Linked DNA regions of Saccharomyces cerevisiae S288C. Changing the gene in region 1 together with any one later gene gives a genetic interaction. Each region holds a gene or a part of one and is shown on either strand. Other genes may lie near its edges.

Evidence for each region. A genetic interaction does not mean that the proteins touch.
Region 2: mutations in YPT7 (region 1) and LCB1 together harm fitness more than expected from each alone (negative genetic interaction), as found in Saccharomyces cerevisiae (2 studies listed by BioGRID).

The regions. Positions count from the first base shown.
Region 1 is NC_001145.3:265,383-268,474, forward strand, and holds YPT7 (Rab family GTPase YPT7), read left to right. Parts: upstream 1-1,791; coding exon 1,792-2,418; downstream 2,419-3,092. Other genes in the region: VRL1 (Vrl1p), read left to right, coding at 1-1,372. UniProt on the Saccharomyces cerevisiae protein: Ypt/Rab-type GTPases are key regulators of membrane trafficking and intracellular vesicular transport.
Region 2 is NC_001145.3:858,614-862,608, forward strand, and holds LCB1 (serine C-palmitoyltransferase LCB1), read right to left. Parts: upstream 2,279-3,995; coding exon 602-2,278; downstream 1-601. Other genes in the region: GSR1 (Gsr1p), read right to left, coding at 1-277; carboxypeptidase C PRC1, read left to right, coding at 3,309-3,995. UniProt on the Saccharomyces cerevisiae protein: Component of serine palmitoyltransferase (SPT), which catalyzes the committed step in the synthesis of sphingolipids, the condensation of serine with palmitoyl CoA to form the long chain base 3-ketosphinganine.

The DNA of each region.
Region 1 (3,092 bases):
AGACCACACCGATAATAAGGGCAATAGCTTGTTGCATGTTTTGAAAACAAACATTCCAATCCTTTTACAACTGACTAAGCTAGATATTAATGAGGAAAATTATAAGGGATTGACGCCATTAATGGTATATGTGAAGTACAAAAGACTAAGTAATATTGACGCCATCACGAAAGACCGTCGACTTATATTAGAGAAGGTTCAAAACTCGACCTTCTTCACTTGTTTTGATTATGCAAAAGATCACTCGGTACTAAGCAAGATAGGAGAAAGGGGTGTCAAAGATTCACTTTTTGGATTAATATATTTTCATTCTTTGCGATATCATAATTTAAATGCGACAACAAATATAACATCCGTTTCAAATGCAGAGAAACCTTTCGCCACTACTGTTATTAACATGAAAACAATTCAAGGCTTACTACGCTCAATTCTGAAAGACAATCCGTTCACCTTTTTGCCATTAAATACCTATATCGATGAAATATCGCACTTAAACCGTTCTGATTTAACAATAATCGGGAAAACAGATGTCACATCGTTACTTCACCAATTAACTAACTGCTTCAACGTTCTTTTATTCCTGAAAAAAATTCCAGAAAATTTGTTCACTGATGAGGCTTCTATCTTATATTGGATGCGCATAAACACTTCTAAAAGAAACCAGAAACCCTCAGGAAAAGAAAATCCAAAAACAATGGAACCCGAGGAGATTAATATGATACAAAGCTTTTTACGTTTTAATTTTGATGAGATTTCATCATTTAAGGCAAGCTTGAATATTTTGAGGAAAGTCTTAATATTTATTAATTTGAAATCCGATGATTTCGAGGATGCTTATAAGGGTCTTAACGAAATGGGTAGAAAATTAATTAATAGTGAAGCATCCAGCGCATTTAAGGGGATTATAACAAATCATAATATGTTCAGTGAATTATCGCTAGCAGCACTACTAGAAAACGTGCGTTTCTTGGAACAATGTACTATCCAACTATCTAGTTTCGTTCAGATAATTTTATTTGAAAAAATTCCGAACTGGTGGAAACATTATGGTGAGTTTTTAGCTTTACATAAAAGCTATCGGAAGGCTTTTCCTAACATGGTTAAGCCAAAAAGTGCATCAGATACCTCTAGTCGTGCTCCACTTGGTGGTTTTATTGAAACGAAGCGTGAACAATCGGAGCAAAGACTAGCGGTTCAGATAAAGGCCTCTTCAAAAATGCTCAAAGAACTTGGAAGCGAAATTTTTGTAGCTCACGAAAGGTTGGCCGAGGAACTAAGCAATTATATGGAGTTCAGGAAGGCGTGCTTAGATCAGCGTAGTCTTGTGGCATTTGCCACAACCAACATTAGCGTTCTTCAAGAATGTGTTTAAGATTGACTGAGCATTGCAATATTTTACCTTCTTCTCACTTGTTCTATAGAATTTTTTACCCAAAAATAAGAGATAAAGAGTTTGAAAGAAACATCATTACATATATATATATATACGGGCAGCTCCGTAACTCGAAAAGAGTGACAGCTGTTTTACTCTGTAATAGCTGACGATTCTTCAGTGATTGGAATAACCTCAGAACTCACCGGTACGGGTAACGTTTGTATCTCGCGGATTAACTTTTCGCATTTCGACCTACTGAGAGAAGAAGTTCCTTTTGTTAATCTGTACCTTTATCTTGAAAGCAGTCGTTACAGAGGAACAGCATTGGGAATCACCAACAAAATAAGAGGAATAAGCTCATCCAGTCCACTTCTTATCCATATAGAAACCCCTTCTGTATCAATTCAAATTAAGTGATGTCTTCTAGAAAAAAAAATATTTTGAAAGTAATCATCCTAGGTGACTCTGGTGTTGGGAAGACCTCCTTGATGCACCGTTATGTCAATGATAAGTATTCTCAACAGTATAAAGCAACAATTGGGGCTGACTTTTTAACAAAAGAGGTGACAGTTGACGGTGATAAAGTTGCCACCATGCAAGTTTGGGATACTGCTGGACAGGAACGTTTCCAATCACTGGGTGTTGCTTTCTATAGAGGTGCAGATTGTTGCGTTTTGGTCTACGATGTGACCAATGCCAGTTCCTTTGAGAATATTAAGTCTTGGCGAGATGAATTTCTAGTGCATGCGAACGTAAACTCACCAGAAACATTTCCATTTGTTATACTGGGAAATAAAATTGATGCCGAAGAATCTAAAAAAATTGTATCAGAAAAGTCCGCTCAGGAGCTTGCTAAATCATTAGGCGATATTCCTTTGTTTTTAACAAGTGCCAAAAACGCCATAAACGTTGATACCGCATTTGAAGAAATTGCAAGGAGTGCTTTACAACAGAATCAAGCTGATACAGAAGCCTTTGAAGATGACTATAATGATGCCATCAATATTCGCCTAGATGGAGAAAATAATTCTTGTAGCTGTTGAGCTGTACTACTTAATTGTATCTTCTATTATGTAATCCTTTATAGCGTATCCTTAAAAAAATTAATAATTTAAAACTACTAAATATATTTAGGGATGTGATGGCCCTTTCAATATGAGGCTTTCGATTACCATGTGCAATCTGTCTATGAACCTTAGTTAATTAACACAACTGTTAAATAAAGCGATTTACTACACTTGAGATAATATAACTCAACAAAACGTGACAAAAAATCACATGACTACCTAACAAAATATTTATTTTTCTTTTTTAATATTTGAAAATACTAAAATATTTTTGTTGTTTTTTGAAAAAAGGATTTTTAATGTGTATGCGTTCCGAACTTTAAATATAACGTCAGCGTAAAAATAATTTTTCTCCGAATGTATATCGAAATCTCAAATTGCTCTTAGAGATTTAGATTTCAACGACAGGATAAATTGGCTAGAGTTGAAAAAACTGCACAGAGTATATAAAAGATCTTGCAATGGATGATTAAAATTTACGGTATTTCATTTTTCCAATGAATGGCTTTTCTAAGAGAAATTAATTTCGCAATTTGTTGATGAGAAGTTCTGGCTACCTTAGTCACTATTTATTTTACTATGGCGGTATAAGTTTCTCCCGCCTTGAAAAAAGGAATACAGTAATAAAATGAATATAAATCAGGATTTTT
Region 2 (3,995 bases), 590 kb from region 1:
CTGCCTGTGTGATGGGTTGACCGAAAACATCACACAGAACATGACCTTCTTCGTTGGAAAAATAAGATTGTCTGTTCATGTTGTCGTGGAAGGTATCAGCAGCTTGTTCAAAAGGTTGGGCTTCCTGCACAGCGTCTAGAATAGGATCAGCAACGGAAGCAGTACGCATCTTCAATCTTGCCTTGTCATCTTCAGAAATCTTGACATCTGAGGCACGGTTCGCTCCGTCATGATCACTCGTGTTACTGATACTGGATTTCTTTCTAAAATGCATCATATTGCCTTGGTGTGCTGTTTTAACCTTGTTTGATGTTTGCTGTGTCTCTTGTGTTAGTTCTCTGCCTAGTGAAACCGAAAATGCTCAAGAAAGCGTACCACGAAAGTACTCCTTTCTTTTCTATTAATAAATAAACAAATAAATAATACAGGTTGCTTTGCCTCGATGGTAAAAGGAAAGAAAATTTCGGATCCGAAAATTTTTAGCGCATTCTCTGGGCGCCGTGCACCACGTCAATTTGACAGAGATGATGTTACGATTATTTGTATTATTGTATAAATATTTATATATATATGTGCGTGTGCATATACTGGCTTTCTATTTTTATTTATTAGATTCTTGGCAACAGGCAAGGATGGACTGCTTGACACTTTCGCAAGCATTTTTGAGTTCCTCTGGGGACATGGCGGCGTTACAGCAGATTTTCAAGCTAGGGACAATTGGTAGCGTCTCCTGTTTTAAAACAATAGTGTTTCTTGTGATGAGAACGTTGTAGTTAATAAGAGCATGATCTACTATGGACTGCAGAAATTTTTCCTCCTCTTCGTATGGCTCAATGAATTTGTTTGTCTGGGACTTCTTTTGCAAAGCTGACATGGTTTCGAATAGCTGTTCGCAGGTGTATCCGAACTTGCGAGACCTATATGCGGGAGTCAGTTGCAGATGTAGGACAGCAGACACTGGAGAGGACGTGACGATTACGTATGAACGCAAGGAGTCGTCAGATGCAAAGGAATCATGCAAAGATTTGGATAGTTTTTGCAGCGTCTGGACGGCGTCGTTGTTGGAGTCCATCAATTTCAAGACTTTGGAGACGGATGTGACGGTGTAAGCCGGCAAACAGGCAGAAAAACAATATGCATTGGAACCAATACGCTGGTGCAAACACATAACACTGTCACCCAGGACAAAACCACCGGTGGACCCCAACGCGGTGGCCATGGACCCAACGGTAATGTCAATGGCAGTTGCGCGATCCATGTTGAAGTGCTCTGACAACCCACGGCCCGTAGCGCCAAGAACACCAATGGAGAAGGTTTCGTCAACAAATAGTCTGAACTTGTACTTGTTCTTCAGCTTAGTCAACTCAGGCAACGGAGCTAAATCGCCCGAGTTGTGGAAAATACCCTCAGTGACGATAAATTTTCTTGGAATGGCGGGCAGTTTCTCAAGTTTCTCCTGTTCGGTCAACTCGTTTAATAAACATTCTAGCGAATTCATATCGTTGTGGTTGAAGTAGTAGACTGTGGATCTGCTTAGTTGCAGAGCATTTTGCACTGGTAATGACACCTGGTCGTCTGCCACGATAACATCACCACGCTTTGTGAAAGCAGGCAGAACAGAGGGTGCGGCACAAAAGTCTTGCCCGTACAGAACGGAACCTTGGGTGCCAAAGAACTGTGCTAAATCATATTCCAACGTGTAATGAACGTCCTGGTTACCGTAGAACCCGGCGGGACCACAGGCGCCCACACCGTAATTCTTGATAGTGGTCTTGACCACTTCTTTCACGGGCTCCGTAGCGGACAATTGCAAAAAGTTGTTCGAGGCCAAATTGAAAACATTGGTATACTTCTCCTGCAGGTTGTTTCTGGTGATAGTAATATGGTTCTGAATGGGCATTTCCATGGTGACGGGTGTTTTGGCCACCCTCCACGATTGCTCATCGGTGGCAGAAGGGTCGACTAGAGGCTCGGGCTCCCAGTCCTCAATTAGCGCGTCAATCTCCTGGGGCGATAGGTTGGGCTTCTGTGCTTGAAGACTCTTTTTCTGTTGTGGCTTGGACAAGTAATAGATGATCCCGTATAAAATAAGCCCTATCTCAACCGTGGTCCTGTATGGATCGTCATGATGCGATTTCTTGATGTACGAAACGATGAATTGGCCTCCCGGGATTTGAGTCAACACCAGATTGAAGTAGTACCATAGGTACGATGAGGTGGTAACAATAAATGCCGGAATCGGTATTGATTTGGGTAAAACCTCTGGGATGTGTGCCATTGCTTTTTTTTTTTGGGTGGGAAGGAAGAAAAAAGGATAAATAACCCTACACGAGCAAAATGTGTATATTGGAGGCCAGGCAGAAGGTTAGAGCGCTCTTATACTGTGCTACTCGATGATGTTGAAAAGAATTTTTTTTATTTTTCCTTTTCTTTTTCTTAAGTACTATATTTTCTCAATCTTACTTTCGTTCACTACAGTTAACCGCAGCAATATGCCCCTATAAAAAAGAATGAGTGAAAAATTTGTTAGCAGAGAAGCAAGAAGGAAAGAAGGAAAAAAAAAAGAAACCGTGTAAGAAATCATGGCGCCTCAAAAAAAAAAAAATACGCGAAATCGATTTCCGTATATGATGATACATATGTTAGGTCTCTTATGGTAGTTTTTAGGGTCTGTCCTGTTTTTTGAAGGCATTGGTTAGGGTCTAGTAAGTAACTCGTATAAAGAGATGTACTTTTATACGGTATGTGTGGCGGTTATTTCCAGTGTTTTTTTTCCCTTATTTTGTGGGTTCATGGAAATAGTACATATTGACCTTCTGCACAAGAAGCCATATTGACAGAGCAGTATGTGAGGACCTTTCTTCTACACAATGTAACAGTCAATGGTTGTAGTCAATACCACGACCTTTACGTGCAGTTTTAGAGCGAAACTTCGGTTTTTTGAGACTTACCTCGTGTTTGTGTCTCCCTGGGAATGGAGCCGCGCCACCCTTGTCTATTATGTATAGTCTTATTTAATCATAGCGATGTTGGTCATCCAGTACACTTCGGTAGCAACCTTCGTTTGTGATTGTCTTGGTAATTGCTTCCAACAACTTTATCCATCATTGAGACAGGGGCCATATCACCCGCGGGGTCTCAAAGAAGGGGCCCACTAATAAAAGCACGAGATAAGAATGCCAGCAAAAAAGCTCCGAAATAATTCTTTTCGTCTTCCCTCCTAGTCTTAACAAGACAAGAGAGAGAGAGAGAAAGAATACTCACTAGAGATTGTTTCTTTTCTACTCAACTTAAAGTATACATACGCTATGAAAGCATTCACCAGTTTACTATGTGGACTAGGCCTGTCCACTACACTCGCTAAGGCCATCTCATTGCAAAGACCGTTGGGTCTAGATAAGGACGTTTTGCTGCAAGCTGCGGAAAAATTTGGTTTGGACCTCGACCTGGATCATCTCTTGAAGGAGTTGGACTCCAATGTATTGGACGCTTGGGCCCAAATAGAGCATTTGTACCCAAACCAGGTTATGAGCCTTGAAACTTCCACTAAGCCAAAATTCCCTGAAGCAATCAAAACGAAGAAAGACTGGGACTTTGTGGTCAAGAATGACGCAATTGAAAACTATCAGCTTCGTGTCAACAAGATTAAGGACCCTAAAATCCTGGGCATTGACCCAAATGTCACACAGTACACGGGTTACTTGGATGTGGAAGACGAGGACAAGCATTTCTTCTTTTGGACTTTTGAAAGTAGAAACGATCCTGCAAAGGATCCGGTCATCCTTTGGTTGAACGGGGGTCCAGGTTGTTCTTCACTAACCGGGCTGTTCTTTGAATTAGGACCCTCATCCATTGGACCTGATTTGAAACCCATCGGGAACCCTTACTCTTGGAACAGCAATGCCACCGTGATCTTCCTTGACCAGCCTGTCAACGTTGGGTTCTCGTATTCCGGGTCCTCAGGTGTTTCCAACACTGTCGCCGCTGGTAAGGAT